Diceros bicornis minor: one gene and its partners. The protein of the gene in region 2 interacts with the protein of the main gene of each other region in a pairwise test. Links are inferred from orthologs where the notes say so. Each region holds a gene or a part of one and is shown on either strand. Other genes may lie near its edges. The genes, in order: NGB, L3MBTL3, PRKAA2 and PLEKHF1.

Region 1 (7,604 bases), on a different chromosome or scaffold from region 2:
TACCATGTGGAACAGAAGAACCGCCCTGCTGAGCCCAGAGGAATCACAAGTCATTGTTTTAAGCCAGTTTGTTTGGGTATGGTTATATACACAGCAATAGAAAACTGAGCAGACCAGCTAATCCTAAAGGCTCCTTAAATTTCTATGGTTTGGAGAAATTTGGAGACTCAGAAAGGTCAAGGCAGTGCCAGGGTCACACAGCAGGTAAGTAACAGGTGCAGGCCCCGAGCCCTGGTCATTTGAGAGTGTGGGAATGGGAAAAGAGAACAGGTGGAAGGGGAGGACTGGGAGAGAGAGGCAGTCTCATGTCAGGGGCTCCAGAGAGAGGAAGAGACCCTTTACCCACCGAGAAGGAGCTGAGCTTCACGCCCACCGCACGGTGCTTCCTGCCCAGGCCAGCAAGGTACTCCTCCAGCGAGGACAGGTCCTCCACATTGGTCACCGCAGCATCAATCACCAGCATCACCTGCCAAGGCCGAGGCAGCAGTGAAACAGAGGCCAGAGCAACCCTCCGGAACCTGAGGATCCCAACCAGAAGTCAGAGGTGACCAGGACCCTCAGTTTTCCAGGATCAGAAACGCAAGGCAACCTGTGTTGGCACCAGTAGGCGCCAAACATGTGGTGGCCAAACTACCAATGTTACACCGTGAAAGAAGCCCCTCTCCTCTGAGGGCTCAAAGCCCTAAACGTGCCTGCTGGACACTGTTGTTTGCCTGGGATGAGGGGAAACTGAGGCCCTGTGAGAGTCACGAGCCTCTAAGAAAATCCCAGCTTGGTTTTCATAGGGAAATGACCCCTAGTGGATCAGTGCCAACACCACCTACAGGAGCCAGGGGATGAGGCCGAGGACAACAACAGTGCTGGGACCAGCTGGCAGAGCACAGGAGGGGAGAGGGCTGACTGGTGCCCCCGACTGGGCCCGGCTCCGTGCAGAGGGAAAGGAGCAGATGCCCCTGACGTGGGGAGCAGAAGGAGGGGAGTAACACCAGGCCTGGGGCAGAAGTAATTTCCCCTCTCCCGAGGCCCTCACTCTCCCAGGAAGGCGCCCTCCTGGATCCCAGAGGCCCCCTGGGCTCCGACTTCCCCTCACCTTCCTGATGTGGTCCAGGAACTCGGGAGAAGAGAGGCAGTCCTCTGGGCTGGAGAACTGGCGGCAGTTGTACTGGAAGAGGGGCAGCAGGTTGGGCTCCAGGTCAAACAGCCTGCGGGGAGAGGCCCAGGTGTCAGCCCCTGCAGGCCCCGCCGGCCGCATCAGCCCTGGCTTCCAGCAGTGGGGTGGGGCTGGGCCACTACAGCACACCCTCCAAGCTGGCACTGACCCCTCTGCCAGCTTTGCTGGCGCCCCCTTCTCGCCTCTTCTGCAGGCTCTGAGGGGCATCCGGGAAAGAGCAATGTGTCCCCAGGCCTCTCACAGGACCTGGCATATAGTAGCCCTCCATAAACAGTTGAGGGGTGTGGACTGGGACAGGAAGGGGTCCTCAAACAGGAAGCCTGGGCTTACACTGTGGGGAGAGGAAAACACTTCTCTCTCTCTCTGTCTCTCTTTCTCTCCCCACCCCCCACTCTCTCCCCACCCCTCCCCCTCTTGAGTCAGAACCTCCCAGTCTCATCATGTCTAAGGGGGCTCCAGCCAGTGATGATAATAATAATATTAAGAACTCCCTACACTTAACTGAGCATTGAGTACTTTACACGTGGTGAACTCGTGTATTCCTCACAGGGGGTACACTGTGGGATCCTAAGCAGTGGGTACAACTGTCATCACAATTTTATAGAGGAGGAAACAGAAGCCCAGAGAAGTTAAGTAATTTGCCTAAGGTCACGCAGCTTGGGAGTAGAGAGCCTCAGAGGGTGCCTGAGAAAACAGTGGGCTTGGGGAGAACCTGGAGGCACAAGCAGAAGCCCTCAGCCACCTCTGGGAGGGCTCATTGGGTTTTTGTGTAACTGGGAATTTATTCCTCTTTTGTTTGGGGGGAGGTTTTGCAAAAGGTTCCTCAGAAGTTCTGGGCTGGCTTAGGGAGTCAAGGCTCCGGAAAAACCATGGTGAAAGGGAGTGCTGCCTCTTTGTGAAGGCAGAGGGGTTACCCAGAGACCCTCAGCTAAGGTTGAAGACTGGCCTCCCCTTCCCCCTTGGGGTCTGCGCACCCCCTACCCCCTCTCCCCTGGGGCCAGACTTGGGTGCCTGTCCTCCCTTCCCTGGCAGTTCTCTGATTCTAGCCTGGTCCTTTCCTGGAAAAGGCTTCTCCTCCTGTTGGTTGCTGGAAGCGCACACTCCTGGGGCCCGGACCCAGGCCCCGCCAGGCGCCCGGCACCCTCCCTGCACGGGCCCTCGGGGCATCTCAGTCTCCCTGTACTGACAGCGGGGGGACACCCCTGCAGTCAACACCCCAGGAACAAACACACAGGAAGCATAGAGTCGGGGAGAGGGCGCAGTGGGGACCCCATCCGCTAGCCCGAGTGTAAGGAGTTCCGGCGGAGAGGACCCCCGCCCGCCCCCAGTGAGCCGGCTTGGGAGCGGGATGTGCAGTGCTGGCTCGCAGGACGCGCTCACCGCCCGGGGAAGAGAAGAAGGGGCTGCGCCACCCGTCGCCGGCCCCGCTCCTCTGGCGCACATCTGGAGGCGCCCCAGAGCCAAGGCAGCGGGTCAGTTTTCCCTCCTCTGGTGCTGGTCCAGCCGCCTGGAACCCATTCATACCGAGGCACCCCGCCTCCCGCACCCCGGGGCGCTCGGGCCGACCTCACCTGGCGAACAGGACGGTGCCATGCTCCAGCGGGCTGCGGCTTACCGCCCGCCAGCTCTCCCGGATCAGCTCGGGCTCGGGGCGCTCCATGCTCGCCCGGGAACGCAGGGCGCAGAGCTGGGACCCTCGGGGCGCGGGCACCGTCACCGCACGTGGCGCGCCATCTCCGCGGCGACGCGGGCCACTCCGCACCCCCTACGGCCCGCGCGCCTCGGCGGGGCGGGGTCCAGCAACCGCTCCTTCCCCGCCCTAGGTGGAGGCTCCCCCGCCTTGCGGGCCCTGCTGGCGCTTCCGAGGGACCCCACTCCGGCCGCTGCGCCCCGCGGCTTCGAGAGCGCCCCTCCCCGCGCCGCCCTGGCTGGGGCGCTTTAAAGCAACCGCGACCCCCGCCCCCCTCCGGTCCATCAAGCCGCGCACCTCTGGGCAACCGGCTCTGGCCAGGGGCGACCTGGTGGCATGGGAAATGCCCGGGCTTCAGAGCTTAACGGAAATCGTCGAGCCTCTCCGGGCCTGTTTCTCATGCGGAAACTGGTGGTAATTTTACCATTTACAAGTTAGGGCGCCGTGTTGAATTTGATCGCCTCAGGTAGGCTCTGCAGGCCCACCTCTCCACAAAGCCCACTCAAACACCGCCTGGAGGCATTTGAGTTTGCCATCCCCTTGGCACACGGTCTGCTTCCTTCTGCCCCGTGGGCTGATCTGGGGATGCCAGGGCGCCTACCTGTGTGACTAGGCTGAGGTTGAGGGACTCTCTGCTCTAGCTCTGGCTCTGACTGAGGCACCCTGCACGTTGGGCGCCACCCTGGCTCTCAGCCTTAGGGACAGGGCCAAGACGGCAGCCATTTCCAGCCTGGCCTGGGTTCTCTTGAGACTCCATCTTTAGAAATCTGTGAGCTCCATTCTAACCCCAATCTGCTTGGCCAGGGTGGGGTCCAGGTGCAGCAGCTATGAGCATTGTACTACCTGGACACTGACGGAGTTATGCCCGAACATTCCACCATTCCACGATTTTTAATAGACTCTTTAACAAGTTTAAATTGAAGTTCTGGTAACAGAATCTCATGCTTGCCATTCAGGGTGTGAAGTTGGTCACCTGTCAATTCCACTTAAACCTTTCTCTTTCAAGCATGAAAGTTCCCCAGGCCCCAGCCCAGTTCTGGTGGGCAGGTTTTGAAGAGCAAAACCCTCATTTATCTTTCATTATTTCATGTCTCTGAGCCTGTGTCCTCTCAGTCTGCCCACTTGTCTCTCTCCAGTTCCTCAGCTGTACAGTAAGGAGGTTGGGTAGCAAGGTCTCTAGGGGGCCTTTCAGTCCACCTCCTATGGTTCCATGAATACAAGGTGAGTGTTCCAGGGCCACTGGTGATGGACAGGCTGAGGCTCCACGCCTAACCCTGTGCTAGGCATGGAGTGCTGAGTCCTTGCCTTCTAGAACTCCTTCTGGCCCTGAGTCAGGACTGAGGGTCTCAGCAGAACTCTTCTTTCCTGCTCACAGCCAAGCCCGATGAAACCACCTAGCTGCTCTCCCTCGTCCAAGGACTCAGGAGTTTGGAGTACATCCTATTCCTCTCTTCCCCATCTCCCCACATATCTCTGGGGTCTCTGGGCTGGAGCAGGAGAGAAAGACTGTGAGGCAGCCTGGCTTGTGTCCTAAAGAGTCTGTGAGATCCCCAAGTAAGAGCATGAAGGGACTAAGGGCTGAAGGAAGAAGGTGGCCAGGGTACTTGAGGACTAGACTTCCAGTTTGGCATCCTGGGCCCTGCAGCCAGGTCAGCAGGTCATGGGGGGATGGTGGGGAGGCGACATATGTCTCCGGTGACCTCTACCTTTCAGTGCCCAGGTGCCTGATGCTCCGTGTAGGCCACCTGACTCGTCTAAGGCTTCCCACTCCACCCAGGTTGCCCTTCCTGGCATCAGTCTACACTCGGGACCCGTCTTGCCTCCTTTCTCCTTTGGACAGGGTCTGGGGTCTGATAAGTTAACGGGAGTTAATGGCCTCAGCTAGTAAGTGGTGGAGTCAGCACTCACTCAGCACTTCTAGAGCCAGCAGGAGGCCAGAGGAGAGAGCTAAGTGTACTCTAATCTCTGCTCCCCTTAGAGAAAAGGCCTGAGACTCTGGCTGGGCCTAAGCACTCAGGGTGGTGTATTCCAACCAGGAGATGGAGGGTCTGATTCCACATTTGAGAGGCTGGGGAAAGTCACAGGAGCTCCCCTCCCTGCCTGGCATCTGCCCGAGACTTGGGCAGGAGGTTCTAATCAAGGGGAGTGTTCAAGTACTGTTCTAGAGCCAGTGCCGTCACTGAGGTCAATTTCTCGTCAACAGTAATCCAGAGCTAGCACGTACTGAGCATTCTTGTCCAGGCCCTGTGCAAGGTACTTTGCACCATTAACTCTTTTCACCCTCACAATAACTACGAAGTAGGTACTATTTATTGTTTTACTGTTGAGGAAACAGAGGCAGAGAGGTTAAGTAACTAGCTCAAGGTCACATAGTTAATAAACGGTGGGGCCAGGATTTGACCTCAGGTTTCACTCTGTCCCATCCTCCAGGCCTCCATGCTCCACTGCCTCCCTCATTTTAATGAGGGGCTGTGACCAAGAGCTGCCTCCACAGTTCAAAGCCAATGTCCCTGGGCCTAGGTCAATGGCAGGCTCTTAGATGGCTTGTGAGAGCCAAATGTGAGCATCTTTCAGTGACATCAGGTTGGTAGCCTGAAATAGGCCATGGTGGGAGTATTGACACCATGGAAATTGGAAAAATGCCACAAATCAGGGCTTTTTCCTCAGAAAACTGGTCTAGGTGCACCAGGAAACACCGGGCGCTAGATGAGCTGTCCATGCGTTAAGCAGAATGTACAAAGGAACATGCTAAACCTGGACACCTCTGAACCAAGTCCACGCCTTCTCCCCAGGCGACCCAGAGCTGCCAGGTTGTTCTGGGAAGGTGCTTCTAGTCCCAGGACCCGGCTGGAGATGCAGAAAAAGCCCAACTTGGCGCCTAGTCCTGGCTCTACTATTTATTGATCATGGGACCTCAGGCAAGCAATTGAATCTCTCATGGGTAGAACGAGGACAAAAACAGCCCTGACTTCACAGGGTCTTTATGAGGATGAAGTGTCACAGATGTGTCGGGACTTGGTAAACTAAGCTGCGCTAGTCAAGAAGTGTCTGGTCCTTCTCTAACCTGCCTATCCTAGGCATTTTCCACCTCCTGAAGATCTGCATGCCCTCCCCTTCCCTGACTCCAGCTACTCTGGGTCCTAAGGGGCACAGGAGTCAGGCAGCCCAGAAGACCCCCAATTTCACAGTGCAGTGCTACTTCTCTCCTCCCCCACCTACTGTCCAACACAAGTCAGCTCTTGCCCCCTTCGGACCTAAACGTGACTCCTGATAACAGAAGACCCCTGTCAAGATGGGAGTCTTGGGGAAGCAGAATGGAAGTTGCTACAATTCTGGGCTATTCAGCTGTCTCAGAAGTGGACAACTGTTATCTTTCACTCCTTTCTATACTTGTGTGGGCAGGTTAAAAGAGAAAAAATAAGGTCCAGCTTCCTACTTATTTTGGAATAAGTTTAAGAAAATCAAAATAATAACCAACATTACTCAAGTAACCTTGTAGGTGAGAGGGCCCAAATGCCCTCTGGGTCATTAGGCTCACCTTCGCAGCCCAGGGCCTCTGCTGGAATTAGAATGGCCTCAGACTTGAGACACAATGGAATGGTTCTTGTAGTCAAAACATTCTTCTCTTCCTTCTGGGAGCCAGAGGGCAAGTCAGATTCAATTAAGTACAACAAGAACAACATAGCATTGAAAATAAGAGCTATTTATTACAAATTATCCTCTGATTATCCGTGGAAAAAATTTTTTTAATATAAAACGTGGCACAAGAAGCTGGCTGGAGGTTGGGCTAACAGAAGTCTTCTTCCTCCACCACCAAGTTTGTGGGGCATGTCACATTTCTGCCAATTCTTGGGGGCTGGAGTCCATATTTGGAGCACCACTCTGCCAGCCCCTCTCCGCAGCATCTTCCAACAACAGAACCTGGGCACTTGAAGCTGCATCAACCCACGTGGCCTTGTCCCCAGAGAAGTATCTGCCAGTCTGGGCAAGGAGGTAGAGGAGGGAGTGGGCAGACAATTCTCCCATCCTTGGAGAGCAGTGGAAGGGACAGAGGAACCCTTTGTCCCCAGTGTGGCCAGATCAGGAGGGAGGGACAGGCAGAAACTGGCTGAGCTTTCTCCTTCCTCCCCCTCACTCCGAGTGGCTGCCCCTTTAGCTCCTTCAGAGCTCCTCCCTTCCAACAAGATCCCATTAGGAAATAAGAAGGCACAAGGGATCATCAGCCGCCTCCTGGTTGTCATCGTGGGCCACTGTTCTCAGCTAAGAGCCAAGCACAGATTCCTGCATGCTACCTCCAGGAGAGCCCACCCAGATGGCTGCCCCCACCCAGCTCAGAAGAAACCAACTCTGCCTGTGGGGAGGAGGGGAGGGAGATTGGTGGGTTGAAAGGGGTGAGCAGAGGTTCTCCATCCCTGCTCTCTTTCCCTTCCAGAAATGCAATTAAGCAAGCAGCCCAGACTCAGCACACAGGCAGCGCTTCCTGCTGGGGGAAGTCAAAAGGGCTGTAGCCCTGGAAGAGGGAGGTCATCAGGCCCCAGATCTAATTTAACAAACCTGCCTTGCTTTTGACATTGCTGCATTTCCTCTATTAACATTAATGATGGTTGGTCTGAACATCCAAGCATGGCCAGAAGCTTCCCTCCCCACCACCCAGTAGGTAGCACAGCCTGTCCCTGGGACCAATTTCCAGTCTCCGTGGCAACCGCCTCCCGAAGCTGCTCTAAAGAGCTCTGACCCTGTCAG
Region 2 (7,451 bases):
TATCAGAGAATAAAATGATCAGCTCATTTAAAAGGCAAATTTCAACCAAAGGTCTTTTCATTTTTTTCAAAGTTCTAAACATATATTGCACTTTGTATTCTTATTAACATTCAAAATGAAATTATCCGCTGTGACTCGTGATTAAAAATAGATCAAAGGTATACAAAACAACAAATAAAAAAACAAACAATTGTTTCTAATCCCAAGAGTGACCAATCTCAAATCCCAGAATAAAAGCCAAGTGTTTTTCCCATGTAAGTAATGAGGGATGCAAGTGACCCGGTCTGGGTCCTCAGAACTCATCTGCTCTCCGATTTACTAAACTTTCTATTTCTGATCAGCATCCTTTCACACAACATCTGGCTGCTGGCACAGGTCGTCTAATTACTTCCACGTCTGAACCGACTACGTAGCTACAAGTAAAGGCCAAACTTTCCTCTCGGCCTTCCGAACTTAAAGATGCGTTTAACCACTAGAGGTCTCCCCTTGGCCAGTTTTGCACGTTCGCGATTTTGCTGCACTTGAAACTTTCCGGCGAAATGCTCTACTCGAGTCAGTGTTTTTCTAAAAACTTGCGCAAAAATCCACGCGACCGAGCTAGCCAGTCCAGAGACTCTCGGGCCCCCCAAACCAATAAAGCTACCACAAAAGCTAGGAAAATCAAAATTAAAATTCGACGCACTCGCCCCAGCCGCTCCCCTGCCCCCCAATTCTTATTTCTCATCTCAGTTTCCCCTAACTTAAACTTAGAACAATTAAAAATCTATTTTTGCTCTTGTGCACTTTGAATGAGCTCTAATGCATTTTTCTGGTGGCCCCGGGGTGGTCAAGGAGCGGGCCAAGGGATGCAGGGAGGGGGAAGGGCCGTGCCCGCAGCGCCCGAGGAAGTTGCATAAGGAAAGAGACTCCGTTTTTTGGGTCCCCTCAAAAAATCGGCGGGGAGGGGGAGGAAAAGGAAGCGGAGGGGGGGGAGGGAAACCGAAGCGACGTTTACCTTCGTCTCCCCGTGGAAGGGTGGGGTAAGAACCCCGGGCTTCGCGACCCCGGAGGGCGGCTCGTGACCCCCACCTCTCTCCGAGCGCAGACGGACAAACAGATCCCCCCACCCCTCGGCGGGCAAGGCGGGGAGGAAACCGCCCGCTTTTAAACTTTCTCTCACGGTCGCGCTGTGGGCCGTGCTTCGACCGGGGGGGGGGGGGATCCTGGGGCCTTTTTTCTTTAAAGGTAATTAAAGTTTTACCACCAGCACAAAAGTTGCGCCCTGCCCCCGCGCCCCCCCCACCCCGCCTCCCGGGCTCACAAGTTTTCCTCCCTCTCCCCCCGGCCGGCCCGCGGGGCGCGCGGCGGATGCCCCGGCTCCTGCGCTTCCCGATCCCCACCCCCGCCGGCCTCTACTTCCCCCCGCCCGGCCGCCGCGGCGCGAGGCCGGCCCGCCGGGCCCAGGACGCGAGTGTGCAAGACCCATTATTCCGGAATGGCACACGCACGCGGCGCGAGGCGGGCGGCGGCCCCGCCTCGGACCCCTCGCCGCCTCGCAATATAAGGGCGGCGTAAACAAGTTGCAGGAACAGCAGCCCCGCGCCTCCCTCCCCGCCCGCCGCCGCCACGGCCGCCGCCGCCGCCCGGCACACGCCCGCGCCCGCACCGGGCCGGCGCGGCACCCAGGGCGCGGGGCGAACGCCGCGACGGCGCGGGCTCCCGGCCCGGCCCGCGCCCTCCCCCGCGCGCACGGCCGCCGGGGCCCGCGCCGCCTCGCTTCCCGAAGCACTTTCCTGCCTCGGGCAGAAATAAACCGGAGGGTTTATTTTTGTGCAACTTTCCCAAAATGGCGGAAATTGGAGCCGATCTATATGAAATTCTCACACAGTCGGTCGGGAAGGGGGAGGCGGCGAGGAGGCGAACGCAAACTCTCGGCCGCCCAGCCCCGCCGCGGGTCCGCGAGTGTGTGCGTGCGTGTGAGTGTGCGTGTGCGCGGTGGGAGTCGGGCAGGCCTTTCCGCCGCGCACACACAGCACACGCCGGGCAGACGCGCCTGCACATTCAACCAGTCCATTCTCCGCAGCCCGAGCGGGGAGAAAGTGGCCCGGCCTCTTTTCCCACTGCCTCGGTCTCCCGTACTTGTACTTCTCGCGCTCGCCCGCCCGCTCGCTCGCTCTCCGGTGCGCGCCCGGCACAAAGGCCACACGGGCGGAGGGGGCCGCAGGGGCGGCGCGCGGGGCTCGCGCCTCCCGCCGCACCGATCCGCGGCCCCGGCCGCCCCCGCGCCCCCCGCCGGCGCCCCCCGCCTCGGCGGCCGCGCTCGCCGCCCCGGCTGCGGCTCCGCGGCGCCCACTCGGGCACGCACCCCGGCGGAGCCCGGCGCCGCCGCGCTCCCCCACCCCGCGCCCGGTGTCATGAAAGCGACCAAAGTGACAAGCTCGGGGGGCGCGGGGGAGGGGGCCCACACGCATCCCGCCGCCTGCGCGCCGGCAGAGCCCGACGCGGCCGCCTCGCCCCGGCTCCCTTCCGCACGGCCCCCCACACCCTTCCCCGTGTGCGCGCAAAGAAAAAAATACAAGTCTCTCCTCCCCCCATTTTTTCCTTTCTCTTTTCTCTCTCTTTTGTTCCTCTTTCACACTCGCACTCACTACTTCAGAGTGAGATGCCCAGAGACTCCCCCTCCAGCCCTTGGCGAGTCACTTGCCCACTTTTTTCCCCGGGATTAAGTTTTCTCCTCTTTCCCAGAGGCGCAGAGAAGTGGGGGAGAAGCCCCTTCTGTCCTTTCCCCTCCCCTGATCTGTTTCACAAGACGAGGGTGCGCTTCCTTCTCTCCATAGGTCTCTTAACTTTCATCCTCACCCAGAAAAATCAATGAATGGCTTTGGCACGGGCAGATCTTCAGATTAATTAGAGATTAGATCCGATCAACCGCTTCTTACCCCCAAATTTTCTCTTTTTTTTTCTCCGTCTCACGAGTAGTCCTGACAAATGGTCCAGGGCTGCGGGCGCAGTGCGCATGTGCGCGTAGAGTCAGGGCTGGGGAGAGGGGAAACTGCGCTGGTGCCGGTGCCGCCGCCGCCGCCGCCGCCGGGGAGGCTCGCGCTGGCTGCCCTGTGGCTGCTGCTGCCGCGCCTTCGCCGCTGGAAAGCAGCAATAAAGCCGGTTGGCAACTGCAGCTGCCCGCAGATACTGTTTCAGGTGCATCTTTTCAGTCTCCTTGTCACCGGCTGAGAGCTGGTTCGAGAACAGGCAAAACAAATATGAAAGACGGCAGAGGTTATAGATTTCTTTGTCTATTTTTCACTTTACTTTTTTTTAAAGGCAATTCTCAGAGCAGCTAATCCACCATGTACTGTTCAGTGTATGCATTCAGCCATTAAAGAGCGGGCCTTAGTCTTACGCAAACACTACCCAAAAGGCTACATGCGTGCTACAGGTCATGAAAAATAAGAAATAAAGTTTTAAGCTTTTACAGAGTAGAACCTCCCCGTCTTTTGGGACGGAAAGAATGCATAATGAAGTGTGCGTGTAAAACTTGCGCATTCTTCCCGTTTCCTGAGTGTGGGTCTTTATTGACAGCTTAAACACGGTAGGCCTCTGTTGTGAAATATGTTGGGATTCGTGCATCTACTTAGAAATCAGTGTTAAAGTACCTTGCAGTGAGCAGGTCGAGGACTGCCCTCTTAATATATTCAGGCAAGATGGCTGAGCGGTCCTAAATCGCAAAACCTGTCTTTGTTAAGGCGTCAAAATGAGATCAAGAGTATTGTATTTCGGTATTGACAGCTTTCTATTTATTGACTGCAGCCCTCCTTTTGGGCAGCTCACCATTCTCCTTTTCTACTAGGTACAGGTTCTTGCAAAATAATTCAAGTAATTGAAGTTGTGATAAACATTTTAATGTTAACAGAGTTTGCTGTGCGAGAAAAAAGTAGCACATGTGATTTCAGGAATGGTGGAAGCCACGCTTCCATTTTGCAGGGGTGGGAAGGTAAAAGAAAGGCCTCACCCCTCAGAGAGGGCTATTTATTTTGCATCCAATAAAGGCTAAAAGAGGCCCTTTACCGAAATTGCTGCCTGAGGCCTAGAATTTAAATATATCACAGATGGAAATTCTGTATTAAAAATCCTCCTCCAAAATGTAAGTAATATTATTCTTGATTGGATTTTTTCACTTAAGGAATGTTCCTTGAACCAATTTCAGAAAATAAACTGTTAAATTCCTTCCCTAGGACCATGAAATTTCTCTAGAGAAGTAGACACCCCACCACCCCCCACTGCTTCTTTTGTTGGTATGGTGACTAAATTCTCCAAACCAAAAATCAGGACACATGGTTTGATATGTACTCCAGAACAAAGAAACAAACCCTGGGAGGCTGAAATGAGCTTATAAAATACACTTCATGTGTTGGGCAGCCACTGGTTTAGGGGTGTGAAGTGGGGAAGGCTGGGTTGGTGAGAGCTATAGATAATCTCAGACCACCAGTTAACTATTGCTTTCACCTACCACATCCAAACTTTTTCAGAGCTGCTCCCAAACAGCCTAATTAACTGATCTGAATTTCAGCTTCTCTCCTTTTCTCCTTAGCCCTTGAATAATAGGCAGTGAAATGGCCAAAGGCAGACTACAGGAGGAGCAAGAAAGAAAGGCTATGAACTATGTACAAAACTAAGACCTTACCCCAAAGGAAACTACAATTAATTTTAGATTCCTCTTTCTAAAAGTCCATTTTAGACTCATTCTCTCTAAATAATTTCTGGATGATATTTCTATTTCACATATATTTTCAGAGATGTTGGTTCAACAGTCTGTAAACTTATATTAACGGCCTACCTTGTGCTAAGCATTCTGCAAGGTGCTGGGGAGTAATAAAGGATAAAAACTAGGCCACAAGGAGTTCAGTTTGGCGAGAGAGGAGTCTAGTGAACTGGGCGTTGCATTACAGTATGGTAACTGTTGTAGCCGGGGGTGCAGAGCAAGTACAATTGAGGGGCATCTGTGGCAATAAGGAAAGGCTTTCCAGAAGTCATAGCTACGCCGATTTTTGAAGGAAGCATCCAGGCTGTGTCCTTCCACCTTTCTTCTGGGACGGGGATCCAATCAGAGAAAGCCTGAGTAGAGGTCAAGGGTTTGGGTAGTAAGGTTTGCCTGGGACCTATCACTTACTGAGGTTCACTAACAAAAATGAGGAGTTGAGGCTCTCTACAGTACATTGTATTTCTTCTCCAGAGATCATCAGTGAACCATCAAAGATTTCATCGCAGTTGTCCCCAAGATGTGGTTCAGAATAGGAAATATTTTGAAGGTATTCACGTGTAAGAATAACGACTTTAAGGCTGCTACCAAATTTTTCTACAAGGAATCCTTTGGTGCTACCACCTGAGACAAAAGCAGAATGCACTATTAGAATCTAGATAACATTGTGTTATTCTTCATATAAACTGGTACTATTTCCAGGACCTTTCTCTGTCTGTTCCCTAAATGGTAATATACTAGTAGAAGCTTCTTTGCTACTCCTTCACCCTTCCACTGTTCAGTCACTGGTTAATAATTCAGGATGAATCCCTTCTTTCCAGCGTCACTGAATCTCATCATTCTCCACCACTCTCCCTCGTTGCCATCCCACTCTGCTCCACCCTGTCACACCTACCTAGCAAATCCATCCTTCAGACCAAGTCTATAACTTCCATGATATCCCAAACTAAAGCATTAGCTCACTCTTTTACTTTTCTTTGTATTTATTTATTTACACCCAAACTTATTCGCCACGAAAGGACCTTTTCACCTTGCTAAAGGTGAAAGAAAAAGGATATATTACTCATCAGGTAAGGAAAGGATTATAATGTGTATCACATTCTCAACATCCTAAATATTCTGAAGCTAGAGTCATTTTACATGGAAAGCGTTTTAAACAAATCACTGTACTCCCTCTTCAGAGGCTCTTTGAGGCTCCTCATCACCTCCCAGATGAAGGTCATTCCAAACCCCTTGCACTGTGCTTCATCCGGTAACCTCCTGTCTGTGTGAACTTCAATTTAGAAACCTAACCTCCCTTTTCCTAACACTAAGCTTGTTCTGCATTGATAGGACACACTCCTCCCGTCCTGGAGTGATTCAAGGACTGCCTCCTCCACAAGCCAGCCCCTCACAGATTGAAAGTGCCCAAGAGATTTGTGTTCTGGTCCAGTCCTGCCACCGCTCACCGGGAACCATTCGGCAGGTCACCTCCCATTTCAGGGCTTCAATTCTCTCACTAGTTAGACAAAGAAAACAGAGTAATTGATTTCTGAGGTCTCTTTGAAAGCCGTGTTCCTCCCCATCCTTTGACAGAGGAACTCTGTCAAATATTACGGAACCAAGAAAGGAATGTTAAGTAAGGAGTGAAAAGTTCATCCATCTGCTAGGTATCAGAACGTTATCCGTTTATAGCTCATTCAGTCGGTTTAGGCCTGGAACTAATGAGATGAGGGACACGGGTTCCATTCCCTAATGGCTAGTTAGTTTTGACCTGTTTCATAGCCACAAACTGCTTCCCAACCCCAGTTCCCCATGTTGCAACGTGTGCTATTGGTCACAAGTTTTAAGGTAAAATTGAATCTTTCTATAGAAATTTTCTAAATGAACAACACTTTAAATCATCCTTTTAATGTATTATCTTACTTTTAAGTATGAGTCAAGTTATTGATTTTTTTAGCCTACATAATCGTGTGCTCCATGTTTTTCCAAGTATAAAAATGACGTTAACATTGATTTGGCCAGATTCTTATTATTGATATTTGTAAGAGCTGAGTTTGATTTTCTTGTTAGTGTTCTAGATAACACTGAAATGTTCATATAGGTAGTCTAATTTGAATCCTGGCTATCTTTCTTGTGATCTGCATGCATTCTTAGCACAGAGCTTGTGATAATGAAATGTAATTGAAATGCTAAAGGTGAAAGAAAAAGGATATATTACTCATCAGGTAAGGAAAGAATTATGATGTGTATCACATTCTCAACATCCTAAAGAAATTAATATGTAAGGAACTTCTGGATAGATGTATTTCTTATCATTTTGTTTAGATGCAAAGGTAAAGATAGAAATATGACAGACATATTCAAAAGAGTGGAATAATATAGATCTGTAAACTGACTTCTAAATTAAAAAGAAAAAGACAATTTGTAATTTCCCATAACACATTTACTCATTTAAGCCCAAAATCCAGAAGCCTTATAACTAAACAATATTAGAGCAGACAAGCCAGACTTCAGAACGTCTGTGACAACAGACCCCAATACTCTCTGAGCCTGGTTCTAGAATGTTCTTTCCATTTGACCTGGCTGCCTGATCCCAGCTGATTGGTCCAGGAGTGGACATTTAATCCAAGGACTGAATCTAGTAGCAGAGGGCGGCCTATGAGTCAGTAGGGAGTGCTTTACCATAAGAATAAAAATGATGAAATGGACCACTCATATTCTCACGCTTGGCCAT
Region 3 (7,892 bases), on a different chromosome or scaffold from region 2:
AGGAAACAAACAAATTTTGGGCAAAGATAGATTGGTAAATGTTAACAATGTCGATAATCATTAAGGGTGGGGATTATTAATACTACTTTACTTTGGTGTCTGAAATTTTTCATAATAAAAATTAAAAAAGAAGTAATTATTGAACTTGTACTACATATAAGATACTATCAACACATTTCATTAATCACTGAGTCTCCAATTTTCTTTTTATTTTAAACTGGAAAACAATACGAGGAACACTTGCTCATGAATATATAAGGTCCTATATGGTCTGGCTTATGCCTATCTCCAACCTCACTAGTGACTAGTACACTGAGATGGAAAATTATGCTCTGTATTTAATATCTGTACGCATAAAATGGAGCTGCTATTAATTTTGACTTCTTTTTTAAAGTGCTCCTCCCTGTATTCTTGCTTCTTGATTTTATAGCTTAGTAACCGTTTTCTTTATTTCAATTCAACAAATATTTCTGGAATGATGTACCAGGTTAGGTTAGGCCCTAGGAAGAGCAGATGGGGTATGTCATTTTCATATATATATGAAATATTCATTTATATATGAAATATTCATATATATAATAACAGAAATGATAGATGCTATAATAGCTATATGAAAAAAAGTGCTATGGGAACCCTAAAGAGAAACATGTAATCAAAACTTGATCAACCATGCTAGAGGAAGGAGAGAATTATCTTTCTATTCTTTCCATAGAAAATGTTACAAACTATGAAGAGGCAATCAAAGAATATGCAGCCAAAAAATGTAGAAAACAAGTATTATCAAGGCATGCAGGATAGTTAATTTATAAAAATATGATTTTCTTCTGGATTTAGTGATCTTTGTGTTGTCAGCTTCAAAAAATGTGTAGATGTGTTTTTTCATTTCAAATAAATATACGCTTTCATACTCAATTTTGCATTTTTTTTCCTTAAAGAGGTCCCGCACATCACATAAACCTCAGATGCCACACAACCTGAATCCACTTGAGTGCCTATAATTTGCTAGGCAGTGTTCTGGGAGCTCAGGATACATTGGTGAACAAAATAGAGAAAACAATCCTCTCTTGTGAAGCTTATGTTCTAGTTGAGAGACAGACAAAACAAAAACATAATAAACGTCTAAATTAAATAGTATGTTAGAAGGTAAGTGCCGTGGAAAAACGTTGAGAAGGGTTGGAGGATGGAGAGTGCAGAGCAGGGAGTGTGGGTGAGATGAGAAAGCATTTGGCAAGATCCAACATCCATTTATCATAAAAGCTCTCAATAAAATGGGTATAGTAGTTTCCTTCTTCTATAGAACTACCTCAACATAATAAAGGCCATATATGACGAACCCACAGCCAACATCATATTCAACAGTGAAAAACTGAAAGCCATCCCTCTGAGAACAGGAACAAGACATGGGTGCCCACTTGCACCACTCTTATTCAACATAGTAATGGAAGTTTTAGCCAGAGCAATCAGGCAAGAAAAAGAAATAAAAGGGATCCAAATCGGAAAGCAAGAGGTAAAACTGTCACTATTCGTGGATGACATGATTCTCTACATAGAAAACCCTAAAGAATCCACCAAAAACTATTAGAAATAGTCAATGAATACAGTAAAGTTGCAGGCTACAAAATCAACATACAAAAATCAGTTGCATTTCTATACACTAACAACCAAATAGCAGAAAGAGAAATCGAGAATACAGTCCCATTTACAATTGCAACCAAAAGAACAAAATGCCTAGGAAATTGCCATTTTCAATAAGCTGGTCAGAGAAGGTAAGCCTCAGCGAGAAGGTGACTGTGAGCAAAGACTTGAAGGAACTGGTTATTGATAATACCAACAGACTCTAGTATAGTATATGAGTTCAGTGGTATGCCATTATTCTCTTATTCAGGCCCCACTTTAGAATATTTGAAGTAAAATAACCCCAAAGACCCAACAGTAGGAGGGTAAAGCAGGAACAGTTGACCAGGGTTAAGAACTGAGTAGCTGCCTGGGGCACTCATCTTAGACATTGGTACTAAACAACACAGAGACACTGAAACATCACTGGAAAATAATACAATGGGGAACATTCTATCTACCAGAACATTTTGGGAGGTGAGACCCCCAAGGGGCATGACCCTTAAGGAGATTTGGTCTGATTAACTGTCAGGTTTGTACTGCAGGGTGGGGTGAGGCAAACATGGAACCACACCTGAAATGGTCAGGGCACTAGACGGCTGAGTGCTGCCACCAAGGGGTGCCCTTTCCCACCTTTCTCACCTATTTAGCATTCAATCTTCCCTCTAAATAAAAGAGGGGAAAACAGCTAAAAATATGAGTTTAAAGTATATATTGTTGGCCTGCTCTAGAAATAATAAAAATAGGAGACTGGGACTCTTAATTGTGAACATCTTAAATGTTCTTGGAGGGCCAGCCCCGTGGCTTAGAGGTTAAGTGTGTGCGCTCTGCTGCTGGCCGCCGGGGTTCGGATCCCGGGCGCGCACTGAGGCACCGCTTCTCCGGCCATGCTGAGGCTGCGTCCCACATACAGCAACTAGAAGGCTGTGCAACTATGACATACAACTATCTACTGGGGCTTTGGGGAGAAAAAGGAGGAAGATTGGCAATAGATGTTAGCTCAGAGCTGGTCTTCCTCAGCAAAAAGAGGAGGATTAGCACGGATGTTAGCTCAGGGCTGATCTTCCTCTCACACACACAAAAAAAATACAGCAAAAAAAAAAAAATCATTAAACATTCTTGGAGCACCACATGATCTTTATTTATAAGCAGCTGTGGCATAGTAGAAAGACAAAAGGACAGGTCAGAACTGGATATTGAGTTCTGACTCTGCCACTGAACTGATTAGCCTTGGCCAAATCAGACAGTGAAAAACTAAGTTTTATCATCTATAAAATGGGGATAATAGTTAAGTTTCTTTTACGACAATTAAATGAGATAATTGTGTTTAAATGAACTTTTTAATCAACAAAGTATCATACACCTGTTTGGCATAATAATAAAGCTACAGGGTAGTTTTATTTTATTTATTTATTTATTATAGTTGCTAGGTAAGGATCATAGTTATGAAGGATATAATCATTTAAGTTGTAATTATCAACAAATAGTTAAGACAGTGCAGAATCCTTTAAAATCTCTATAGTCGGTCTTCACGCAGCTTCAAGAAACCAATCTAACAGACTTTTCAACATCTTTTAATGGGATGTTAGAACAAGAGACAGACATACATCTTGTTATCTCAAAAGCAGAATATGTATTTTGTTTCCTTATTCACTTGAATGAATACTGAAGGAGTGACCCTTAACCAAATGAAGGAAGGGTCAGCATCAAAAATAACTGGCTATTTTCTCCAAATTGCCAGCTAGGTAGAGTGATTCTTAAATGATACTTCTTGTCAGCAAGAAAGATGATCCCAAGAATGAACAAAAATAGCCTCTGTTCAACAGCTGCGATATCTATAATTTATAAGGTGTGATCATCTCTCATTAGATTGTCACGGTGTCTAAACAAGAATGTATGTATATTTGCCATTTGTATATCTATCACTTCTCAGAAAACAAACTTCTGTTACATCTTATTCTTTCTGATCAATGTATTTCTCTCTTTACACATAAACAGCGTGATAAGACACTTCTTGTTTGAGGAATGTGACCTTGAAACGTCATCGTCATGCACAACGTTAAAAATGTTCAACTAATCCTTAAACATTTATTCCAATCAGCAAATAATTTGCAAGCACTGAAAGACAGGCAACATTGAAGAACAGGACGACACGGAAGGAAGGGAGGGAGGGAGGCAAGGAGGAAGGGAAGAAGGAAAAAAAGAAGGAAGGAAGGTAGGAAGGAAGGAAGGAAGACATTCCTTCATTACTAAATTCCTGTCAGTATTCAATACAGTACCTGGGTGTCGCGCCTTTGTTTCCTCTTACCATTTTGTCCCCCCACCTTCTATCTTTATCTTTCATTCATTTGTGCCCTTACAGCCCTTCCTCTTCACAATTCTCTTTGTCTCTTATGTATTTTACTTCCTATGCTCACTATATTCAATTTCCCTTTTCATTTCTTGCACTATTTTCCTCTGGTGCAGCCCCATCACAGGCTATTTCTACACTATATATTTATCTAAGCATGTGCTAAATACCATCAAGCAAATATTGTGACTGATTTAATGAAGAACTTTGTGCAAATTAGTTAGAATGGAGAGCTCTGGAGGAGAGGGTCTCTTCCATCTCTAGGACAAAATAATTGAAAATGATGAAATACGTAGAGGAGGACAATTGAAGAGAGCACAGCATTGGGTTCCGTGTGTGCCACGACCTGTATCAAAAACTCCCAGGCCGTGACGTGAGGAACTTCCTCCTGGCTCTCCTCGGGCTGACCTTGGATCCCGGCCCCCGCCGCCTCCCATCCCTGAGCTCCCTCATGCTCACACTGCGGTTTTCACATCCTCTCGCTCCCCACACTGTGGGCCTGTTTCTCTGCTTCGAATTCGACTCCCATCTCTTTCCATTCGCTAAGATTCGCCCAAATCTCAGCCGCACACTTTCACTCCCTTCCGTTTTCCTCCTAACGGGCCCCCTAGAGCACCCCCCTCGCCCTCGGCCCCTCCGCAGGTGAGGGCGCCGTCCCTTCACGGCTCCCCGCGCACCTGTCGGCCTCCCCCCACCGCCGCCCGCGCTCCGGCCCCTCCCTCCGCTCCGCGGCCGGGCCCGGCCCCCGGCCTCTCGCCGCGCCCCCTCGGTGGGTCTGCGCGCCCAGCCTCCGCCGTTTAGCGAGTCCCCCCCCCGGCCCGGCCCTCCCCCGCCGCGCCCCTCCGCCCCGGCCCCCCCCCCCCCGGTCCCGCTGCACTGTGGGTAGGCGGCGGCGGCCGCGCTGAGGAGCCCGCGGCGGCGGCGGGGGAGCAGGCGGAGGAGCGGGCGGCGGCGAGGCCGCGCACGCCGAAGATGGCTGAGAAGCAGAAGCACGACGGGCGGGTGAAGATCGGCCACTACGTGCTGGGGGACACGCTGGGCGTCGGCACCTTCGGCAAAGTGAAGAGTTGAGTACGCCAGGCCGTCCGCTTCGCCGAGGCCGGGCCGGGCCGAGCCCCGGAGCCCGGGCGGGAGGGTGGCGGGCGGCGGGCGCGGGCCTGGTGGCAGGTGGAGCGGCCCGGCCGCGCGGAGCCGGGGCCCCGGGAGGGCGCGGGCGCACCTGGCCCCGCAGTGGTGGCAGGTGCAGGGCAGGGGCCGGAGAGGAGGGCGAGGGCGAGGGCGGGGGCAGCAGTGCCGGGGTCCAGGGCCCGCGCCCAGCCGCCCGTCCGGTGGTCGGGAGCGAGGCGCTTCCCCTGCGCGGACGTGAGTACCTTCTGTAGACCCGGGAGCGCGGACTCGGCGGTGGCGTGCCTTCCAGCTGCGGCATGGGCCGGACGGGGGGCTCCTCCACGGTCCTGATGGTTGAGTTTCCATTCTGCCAGGTGCCCCGTTAGGTGCTTTCCTTGTGATCTGTAATTCTCACAGCAGCTGGGTCAGGTGTTCTTCTCACGTTGAAGGTGAGAAAACGGGGACCCCTAGAGGCTGAGGAACGTGCTCAAGGTCACACAGAAATTGGCAGAACCAGGATGAAGAGTAAAATGTCTTCCGATTCTGGGCAGGCTGGGAGGTCCCTGCCCTCCCGATTCTTGCATGCTCCCGGGCTCTAGGTTGGTGGGGCTGGCTGTCTAGGGGGTGCTCCAGGGGCGAGAGGTGGGTCGGTCTTTCTGCTGGGCATGTGAAGGGCTGGCATGCAGCTGGATTTGTCAGGGGTTGATTAGAGCTGGGAGTTCGGAAGGTTGGTTGGCATGTGTAAAATGGTTCTAGGAAGGCTTCAGGAGTGGGGCAGAGAAAAAAGCCCCCTTGGTGTTGACCTTGGAGGATGTGGGGCTGAGGAGGCCAGAACTGCTGAGGCATAGTCCGCTGAGGTCTGTTTTCTTGGTGATAGGATCCCATTTTGGGTGTAGAAAAACAGGCTGCTTTTGAAATGTTTTACTTCTTACTAGTTAAGTATTGAACTTTCCTTTTCTGTTGTTAATAAGTCACATGGGATTGAATTGTTTTGTCCTCTTTCCAGAACTAGAGCCAGCTTATTAAGTATACTTTCCCTTTGATTGTTGCACATCCAGGATTATAAGTAAAATGTTGAATTTTTTTTTTCTTTTTGCTGTAGAAGTTCAGTAGGCAGTTTGGAGATTTTATTCTGAGGCCTTTATTTGGTTTAAAATTCATATTTTAATCTTAAATCAAGGCTGTTAAATAGGTAGAAGAAACTCATTGTTTGCATCAGCTCTTATTTACTTCCACATATCTGATACCGTTTTGTTTAGAAAATGCTTATTGTACACCTATGATGTGCTGGCCACGGTTCTGGGCAGTGAGGATACAGCAAGAAACAAAACCAGATTAAAATCCCTCCTTTTGTGGAGCTTATATTCTAGTAGGGGAAGACGAACAATAATCACAATATGTATGTAAACTATATAGCATGTCTAGTGCTGTTGAGAAAAATGAATCAGGGAAGGGAGCATAGGGAGTTTTGTGAGGTTGACAATTTTCAATAAAGTTGTCAAGCAAGGCCTCACAGATAAGGTACTGTTTGTGTAAAGACCTAAAAAGGTTGTAAAATTCTTTGAAGTCCTATGAGGCTATGAAGTTCTGGATTATTTTTGAAAGACCTCGTAAATAAAGTGCATAGTTCAGAGAATATATTTAGCTTGAATATAGGAAGATCCAGGGATTGGATTAATGCTTGTAACGTTACTCGTCATTAAGTATCATTACTGAGGACTAATGTGTTTGGACATTATTCACTTCCTGAAGCAAACAGTGCCTTGGCCATCTGGACATGTACACTCTTAAAGTTATATAACTTACCCTATGTCCTTTCAAAACATTTTTGTTTATCTTTTTAAATTCTTCAGCTGTAATCTGAATGTAGACTAGAACACCCATCAACTCAATTGGCCCCTTGTCAGAGGACAGCTTGAATCTCTTTTGTATACTCTTGAGCTGCTTCCAGGCACTGGCTTCTTCAAATATAGGCCAACAGAATATACTTTGATTTATGAGAAATTCTTTTCCTGGAGGACCCCTGTCCAAGGAGCAGCCAGTTGGAGGGCTGTTCTGAAGGCTAGGTTACAGCCTTTGTAAAGTTAGACTGTGGTTTCCCATCCAAGATTAGAGTTGTTCAATAAAAATTATGGAAGTTGCTACAATCTAAAGTTACTCATTTAATTCTTCGAGGGACAAGAAACAAAAGTACGTACATTTTTAAAAACAGCTTTATTGAGGTATATTTTATGTATAAAATTCACTCATTCCAGGTGAACAATTCAATGATTTTTAGTAACTTTACCAAATGGTGCAACCATCATGATAGATCAATTTTAGAACGTTTTCATCACCACAATAGGATCCCTCATGCCCGGTTACAGTTAATCCTTGTTCCTGCCCTCAGCCCCAGGAAACCACTAATCTATTTTCTGTCTGTATAAATTTGCTTTCTCTGGCCACTTCTTGTAAATGGGGACACTCAGTGTGGAGTCTCTCATGTCTGACTAATTTAACAATGTTTTTGAGGTTCATGCGTGACATAGAGTGTGTCACTAGTTTGTTCCTTTTTGTTGCTGAGTAATAATCTATTGTGTGGATATGCCACATTATGTCTGTACATTCACCATTTGATGGACATTGTTTTCAGATTGGGGCGGTTACAGATGATGCCGTCACAAACATTCACATGCAAGTCTTTGTGTGGACATATGTTTTTATATATCTTAGATACCTTATATATCTTAGATACCTTGGAGTAGAATTGCTGGGTCATATTGTAGTTTTATGTTTAGCTTTTAGAGAAACTACAAACTGTTTTCCAAAGTGGTTGTACCAT
Region 4 (7,553 bases), on a different chromosome or scaffold from region 2:
GGAGTTTTCCACCTTCCCTCTCTCTCTCTAGCTTACCAGGGGAAGGGATTCTTGCTTCCTGCGTCATAAGCTGACCTATCCTTGGCTGTGCTGGGTCTGGATAATAGACAAAGGAAAGAGAAAACTGAAGACACCAGAGAGGTAAAGCTGGTCTCCGTCATAAGCAGCTGAGATGGGAAAAGATGAAGAAGAACAGAAATGGCAAGCTGCCCCGGCTGAGTGTCTTCAGGGAGAATTTGGAGGACCAGGAGACAAGAGTGGGGAAGAAAGAGAGCCTTGGAGAGCCGTCACCCTCTACTAGAAGGATGAAATTAGCCGTGCTGGATAGGAAGGAGTTTTAAACGTTTGCTGAAATTAAGGATGTGTTTTCTCTTGTGGTATTTCCTCAAGGGCCTGAGCACAAACTTGGAAGTCCTTTAGATTACTTTGTGGCTGTGGTTCTGTCTGTGACTACAACACGCCCACAGACTGAGCTACTTGGGACCCCAGTTATATTTGGGTTACACTAACAAGGATGAAGGCAGAACTGGGAAGGGAATGGAGGAGAGTCAGGCACAGGAATCCCTAGGACAAGGATTTGACCTGGTTTCCATATAAAGACAGACGTGAGTGACAACATTGGAAGTAGCCAGAGAGAAGCAGAGGTGGACTCAGGTAAGGTACTGACACATTTACACACACAAACAGCCAAGGGCAGGTGCTCTAGTCAGAAAGCTCTGGATAGAAGTGCCAGCTCTGCCACTCACTAGCTGGCTGACTTGGGAAGGTCTCTTCAGCTCTCTGAGCCTGACTCTTCTCATGTGTGGAATGAGACTAATGGTGGGAGTAATCGTGGGACTCGCTTGATGGGGATGTTGTAAGCTCCCGTGAACCTGCAGCAGCTCTCAGCACACTGCCCAGCACGGAGAAAAGGCCCGTGAGTGCCCCCTGGTATCACCATTGTTCACTTAAAGCTGCAGATACCCTAAGATGATCCTGTTCAAAGGCCATTTTTAAAGGGCCCAAAACTCTGACCTGCAGGTCAAGGTCATACCTACATGACCTCAGAGGCCACAAGATCTGTTTTGGACTCCCCTGAAGATGGATGGATTTAGGAAGAGTCTTCTCTCCTTGGTGCTGCACCCTGTGATACCAGAGTGGAGAATGGGGGCGAAGAAGGCGACTTTTCGATGAGAAATTCACTGTATCATTTCATGCTAGAAAAAAAATTCAAAACAAAGCAATGGAAAAAGATCGCTTAGGCAATATTTGTGTGCCCAAAGATTGTTCAGCAAACACTAACAGTATGAGTGGCAGAACATAAGGATATTAACATTGAAAAATAGAATTCAAAGTAAAATGCTTTTAAAAAGATGTTTCATTTTGATAAAATAACAATTCATCAAAAAATACGTATGTAATAGACCAGTTAACAGAGAAAATCAACGAGGTTAATGACATGACAGGCTTCAAAAGAGAATGATTTGAATCTCAATGGGTTAAGAAAATTGATAAAATAATTAAATGTTTTTGCAAAACTGGCTCTTATGACCAAGCAACAAAAGTCAGAGGTAACGAGAAGGATGCCCTGCTGAGCGATCACACATTTTGTGTGAGAACGGAAGCCTTCTCCAAACCAGCAGGACTCAAGCTTGCTCTATTCTAGGAATGTTTGAGTAGTTGCAAATGTAGCCTATGTTTTGTTAAATGGAAGACAAACATTTTCATAATTTTATTTCATTTTTGAAGATCAAGTCGCTTTTTCCTTTCTTTTCTTTTCTTTCTTATTGTGTCCCCATCTTGAGTCGATTCGCTTGAAGGGGTTGTTCTCTGAGAGCGGTTGTCCTCAGGTAATGAGCACCCCTGCAGGTATAAGGAGCACAGGTGGAGACGTGTTCAAAGGTTAAACTCCATTCTCTGTCAGAACACTCCAAAGGAAAAGAGGCCCCATAAACAGTGGACACATGCAAACACTTTCAAATGCAGTCGTGACGCCAGCAGTCAGGAAAGACTCCTCTTAAAGGAAACAGCTTCTGAGTGTAACCACTGTGCCTGGGCTTCAGGCGGAGATCAACCTCAGTGGCATCAGAACATTCCTGTTACATTCCCGAACTCTAGCCTGTGCTCCCAAGGGGAGACTCAAAACAGAAACAAGTAACGAGCGACTACTGTGGGTGTGCACAAGGGAACTTGTCCTCGGGGCCTCAGTCTCCGGGGAGGCAAAATCACAGACAGACCCACGATGCGGAGCGACAGAGCTGTAAGAGGGTTGAGCAGGATGCTACGGGAGCATGGAGGAAGAGTAGAAAGTGCCTCCAACTCAACCTGGAAGTCAGGGGATCCTTTGCAGGGGGAGGGACCGTCCATCTGAGGCCTGAAGGCTGGATTTCCCAGAAGAAACTCAGAGGAAAGGGTGTTCCAGAAGAGGAAGCAGCCGAGTTCAGAGATGTGAGAGAAAGACAGACAGACGACAGCTGGCCGGGAAGCTGGCAGCCTGCACACTGGGAAAGAATGACGACTCGGGTGTTGACTCTAATGACAGAGAACCACTTCAGTGCCAGACCTCTGGTCTTCAAAGCCTCTGAGGGCCAAGGGAGCAGCCTCCTTAGGGGCCACCAGGTGGAAGCCACAGCTTTTCTGACTCTCCAAATCTGTGTGTCCCAGGTGGCTATAGGGTGAGAAACCCAGCAGAGTGGACGCAGCTGGGCCTTGCTGCCCCTGCCCTGGGGGTCCACTCCCCCCCGAGGGTCCTCATCGACTCCTCCAGCCCCTGCATGCAGGGGACCAGAGTAAGGAAGGGCCCTGGTCACCACTGCACTCTGACCTGGGGACGGACACAGGCCAAGGCTCCAACACTGAGGCAAGACCTTCCCCAAAGCTGGGCAGGAACAGAAGGGAAATGAACACAGAAACAGTCATCACACCTATCGGGAGCTGGTGCAGAGCCAGGCACGCGACACGCTGCAACAGGACAGTCTGCTTTATCAGATGGCTTTGTGACGTTCATTTTGGATAGAATTTCTCAACAGTGGCACTGTTGACATTTTGGGCTGATCATTTTTTGTAAAGAGGGGCTGTCCTGTGCTTTGTAGGATGTTTAGCAGCATCTCTGGCCTCCACCCACTAGAAGTCAAGAGTATCCCCTGAGTCGACAACCAAAGATGTCTCCAGAAATTCTCAAATGTTCCCCGGGGAGCAAAATCACCCACGGTTGAGAACCATGAATTTTAAACATGAATCTCATGAGGACCGTCTCCAGGCTGTTCTCCAAGGGACCCAGGAGCCCGCCCTGCCTGTAGGAGCCTCAGGATTGCCTTGTGCAATGAGAGGTCCTATAATTCTTCAAAGGGGGTTGTATTGTGGGCAGTGGATAGGAAAAGGGTCTCTATAATCTGCAAGCTCCCCTTCTAGACTGACAACTTAAAAATCTGTGCCCCTTCTGGACTGGTGCAGCCTACAGGACCCGCCTGGGCAGGCGGAGTGAAGGCTGGATTTCAGCCCCTCTCATCTCTGCCCAGCATCTTCGTGCAGTGAACAACCTGCCCAATTGTGTGCAATGACCTTGAAAAGAAAGCTCCCCTCTGGGCTCAGAACTGGGGAACGTCTCAAACCAGAAGAAAATACATGCATTCTGACTTTCCGTTGGAGGCAGTACTGCCTATTGGGAAAGTCTGTTCTGTGCTGTACATGATGAATTCAGGAAAAATGTGAATTGAGTCAGGAGATTTGGACTCCAGATAGTCAAACAGCCTTTGGCCAGGTGAAATCCTGTTTCTAATTGACACTGGGTGTAGCCAGAGGCCCATGCGACCAGGATGCCCACGTGGAGGGCGGTAGGGGGAGGGAACAGGAGGTTCAGGGCAGTCTTAATACCAGAGAATGAAAACCAGAAGGGACTCACTTCTTAAACAGGAAATAGATATTCCAAAACCACTCCCTGGTCACAATGCAGAAAGCAGCAGTAAGAGCTGTGTGCTTGCACCGCCTTGGACTCTTCTGTGCTAATTCACTCACCCTGAGCTCTGCTGACTTCTTCCTTGAAGGAGCTGCAAATTCAGTCTTTGACTTCACGCACAGTCCCCTGGGCTCCGAGGGGCTCAGAAACCCTCAGTCTTGTCAGACACTGACTATGAGGCTTTTAAAAAGCTAGATGGCTGAGACAAATCAGCTCAAGAGATCACAGCTGTCTGACTTGGGGGAGGGTAGGAGAGGGGAGGGAGGGACTTCAAGATAAGCCTTTGGGTACTGTTTTGTTTGTTTTTTAAACCTTGTGATTTAATTTGATGGAAGATTTGGAGGTTTTTTGTTGCTGTTGTTTTGTTGTCTGTTGTTTGTTTTACAACAACTATTTTAAAGTTTCTACAACACACACATACACATGCACACACGCACCATAAAAGGCCCTTAGGGAATGCAAGGGCCAATCCCCACACTGGCTGTTTTAAGTTCTCTGTACAACTTCTTCTGTAACACCGGGGTCTCAGGACATCCCTGTGAGCTGTTACAGGCTGGTGAGGGGGGAATTAAGGGAGAGGTCAGGGTATCTCCATTGGTAGACCTGTTGCCCCATGGTTCCTACAGGGGCCTGGCTGTAGGCTCCAGGCAAAACTCCTGGGGACGCTCCCCAGCACCAATGAGGCAGTGCCCACTCTGGATGGCAAAGCAGCTGGTGATCGAGAGGCTCACCATCAACCGTCAGGCAGGAGAAGGGTGAGTACTAGAAGCATTCTAGGTGGGGAGACATTCTTCATTTTTTCAGACCCAACAGCAGTCATCTATTTTCTGAATCCCTGTGGAATTTGTGGCTGGAGAAAATGAGAGCAACCATGACAGGACCGTTCTGTCTGCAGTCTCTAGCTGTGCTCCCAAGCCAGGAAAAGTCAAAACATTGAGGCCAGGTGGTTTCGTGCTGCTCCAGTAAGACCCTGAGATGGTGGGGGCGTGGAAGACAGTCAAAATTTCTGCAGCTCTTCCCAAAGGGGCTGATAACCTCTGTCTATTTTCCTCTAACGGGAAGGTGTTTCTGAGTGTCCTCCGCCCCAGCATTTTGGCCTCTCCCTCTTCGTTCTCCCTATGGCTTTGGGGGCTGGAGGTGTGGGAGATCAAAATTTGGCCACCCTGAAATATGTCTCTTTACCTTGATTATTTTCTCTGATGGACATTTGACCTCCCCCACTAACTGCCTAAAGGAATTTAACTCTGGGTGTGGACAGACTGGCAGCATCCTCGATAAGCCCATTCTTTTCAAAGTTCTGTTTACCAAATATTTACATTTGTAAAGGTATCTCCCTCTGTGTAGTGGGAAGGGGGGACGACCTTGTCTGTGAAAACTCTTATCAGGACGGAAGAAGAAGACTTAAATGTACATACTCTTGATTACTATAATTCCTGTCTCTCCGGCCACATTCTCTATAGGTGGCCTTGCAAAGCATTGTCTGACAAATATTTACATTTCCCTCTTCATGTAAATTGTCTTCTCCCCCTCTGAAATCCCAAAAAGCCACCCACCTCCAACATCCTTCTTTGCCTTTAGCTGAAGATAGTATTTAAGACGAGAATCTCTGCCACTGTGTTGAGAAACTCAGTGTCCCTGGTTTCTCCCATGTATACATGTTATTAAACTTGGTATTATTTTCTCCTGCTAACCTGTCTTGTTAATTATTTGGACAGCCATAAGAGCCTTAAGGGAAAGGGCAGAGGGAGATTCTCCCTCTTCCCCCACAGAGGTGAAGGGTCAGGGCAGCCTTAAGAACTAGGCTCATTTCTGAAATCTCCTTTCTCTTAATTTAGTCATCCCTTCAGAAAAATTTTTTGCGTGATATTTTGCCTTGGCCTTTGTAACGCCATTTCTATGCCTAGATTGTTAATTTTTGTTTTGTTTGTTTTTTCTAGTTTTAGTTTATTTCACTCGGTATGGGAGGGTTTTGCATTTTGTTGTTGTTATTGTATGTCTTTGATCTTGCCGGTGGATTTTTACTTATTCAGAGCTCTGCTTGTTAAGGTTTGAGGGAGGGAAACTCTGACTCCGGCTTGGGAAATTCCCACCTGTGGCTTTGGAAAAGGGAGGAGAAGTTCTGAGCCCTGGCCTTCAGAACAGGAAATAGCTAAGAATCCCCAGGGGAAGGTCAGAAGGACCTTTACACCCTGGGAGAGAGTTCTTACAATGGAAAATTGTGCTTGCTTTTCTTTTCTCCTCTCCTAACAATAGGTCACTTGGAACTTTTCCAGTGTGATTTTCTTTGAGGCCTAGATGGCCACCAAACCCCAGCTCCCAGACTTGCTATTTCTTTAGAAAATCCAACACTGAACTTTTGAAAGGAAAACACACACACACATACACATTCCAGTTAGTTGGCAACCATGTAAAGAGCAGATACAGGAAATGCTGTATGTGCTATGAGACTTTAAATTACAAATTATGTAATTACTTATTTTACTAATATTTGTTTTCATTTTTAATTTATAGTACATTCATTCTTTTAGTGTACAGTTCTAAGTGTTTTGGCAGATGTATACAGTGTCACCACTGCCACATTCAGAATACAAAAGTGCTTTCATCATTCCAAAAGTCACCCTCATGCTGCTCCTTTGCAGTCACCTTACCCCTAACCAGAAGCAATGCTGTCTGTTCTCCATCCTTAGAATTCTGCGTTTTCAGAATGTCAGCATGTAGCTTTTGAGTCTGGGATTTTCTTGTAGCGTAATGCACTTGCAATCCATCCTTGTTGCTGGATCTGTAGAAGTTTGATCCTTATTATGCCTGAGTTCCTTTTCATTTCCTTGTACAGATATACCATACTTTGTTCATCCATTCATCTGAAGGACATTTGGGCTGTTTCCAATTTTTGGTTTTTGTGAATTAAGCTGTTATAAGCATTTGTTAACGGGTTTTGTGTGAACAAGCGTCATTATATCTCTTGAGTAAATATCTAGGAGTGAGATTGCTGGGTCACATGGTGAGAGTATATTTAACTTCTTAAGACATTGTCAACTATTTCTCAAGTGGTTGCACCGTTTTGCGTTCCTAGTAGCAACGTATGAAAGTTCCAGCTGCCCTGCGTCCTCCCCAGCACCTGGCATTACCATTTTTTGTTCTGCTTTGGTTTTATAGCCATTTAGATAGGTATGTAGTGGTATCTTGTTGTGGTTTTAGTTTGCATTTCCCTAATGTCTGATGATGTTGAGCGTTTTTCCTGTGTTTATTTGCCACCCATATATCTTCTTTGGGAAAGCGTCTATTGGCATGTTTTGACCATTTTTAAATTGAGCTGTTTGTTTCCATTTTGTTAAGTTTTGAAAGTTATTTATATATTCTGGATATATATCCCTTTGTCACATATGTGATTTGCAAATATTTACCCCTAGTCTGTGGCTTTTGTTTTTATTTTAAAAGTGTTTTTCACAGGGCAAAAGTTTAATTTTGATGAAGTCCAATTTTTAATTTTTTCTTTATGGATCATGCTTTTGGTGTCTATCTAAGAACTCTTTGCTTAACCCAAGCTCACAAAGATTTTCTTCAGTGTTTTCTTCTAAAAGTTTTAGGGTTTGATGTTTTACATGTAGGTCTAATATCC

The links.
Region 1: the proteins of L3MBTL3 (region 2) and NGB interact in binary tests that used the Homo sapiens proteins (3 or more experiments, as listed by UniProt). The two-hybrid records come from large-scale screens. The link is inferred for Diceros bicornis minor from reciprocal best matches to the Homo sapiens genes L3MBTL3 and NGB.
Region 3: the proteins of L3MBTL3 (region 2) and PRKAA2 interact in binary tests that used the Homo sapiens proteins (3 or more experiments, as listed by UniProt). The two-hybrid records come from large-scale screens. The link is inferred for Diceros bicornis minor from reciprocal best matches to the Homo sapiens genes L3MBTL3 and PRKAA2.
Region 4: the proteins of L3MBTL3 (region 2) and PLEKHF1 interact in binary tests that used the Homo sapiens proteins (3 or more experiments, as listed by UniProt). The two-hybrid records come from large-scale screens. The link is inferred for Diceros bicornis minor from reciprocal best matches to the Homo sapiens genes L3MBTL3 and PLEKHF1.

What each region holds. Positions count from the first base shown.
Region 1 is NC_080763.1:25,129,281-25,136,884, forward strand, and holds the start of NGB (neuroglobin), read right to left. Parts: upstream 3,007-7,604; 5' UTR 2,832-3,006; coding exon 2,743-2,831; intron 1,203-2,742; coding exon 1,091-1,202; intron 467-1,090; coding exon 347-466; intron 1-346. UniProt on the Homo sapiens protein: Monomeric globin with a bis-histidyl six-coordinate heme-iron atom through which it can bind dioxygen, carbon monoxide and nitric oxide.
Region 2 is NC_080762.1:7,779,922-7,787,372, forward strand, and holds the start of L3MBTL3 (lethal(3)malignant brain tumor-like protein 3), read right to left. Parts: upstream 3,010-7,451; 5' UTR 2,919-3,009; intron 2,896-2,918; exon of another isoform or gene 2,839-2,895; intron 2,142-2,838; exon of another isoform or gene 2,119-2,141; intron 2,033-2,118; exon of another isoform or gene 1,864-2,032; intron 1,185-1,863; exon of another isoform or gene 995-1,184; intron 1-994. UniProt on the Homo sapiens protein: Is a negative regulator of Notch target genes expression, required for RBPJ-mediated transcriptional repression. It recruits KDM1A to Notch-responsive elements and promotes KDM1A-mediated H3K4me demethylation.
Region 3 is NC_080752.1:18,539,119-18,547,010, forward strand, and holds the start of PRKAA2 (5'-AMP-activated protein kinase catalytic subunit alpha-2), read left to right. Parts: upstream 1-4,887; 5' UTR 4,888-4,936; coding exon 4,937-5,030; intron 5,031-5,481; exon of another isoform or gene 5,482-5,520; intron 5,521-7,892. UniProt on the Homo sapiens protein: Catalytic subunit of AMP-activated protein kinase (AMPK), an energy sensor protein kinase that plays a key role in regulating cellular energy metabolism.
Region 4 is NC_080773.1:3,863,761-3,871,313, forward strand, and holds the start of PLEKHF1 (pleckstrin homology domain-containing family F member 1), read left to right. Parts: upstream 1-4,548; 5' UTR 4,549-4,689; intron 4,690-7,553. UniProt on the Homo sapiens protein: May induce apoptosis through the lysosomal-mitochondrial pathway. Translocates to the lysosome initiating the permeabilization of lysosomal membrane (LMP) and resulting in the release of CTSD and CTSL to the cytoplasm.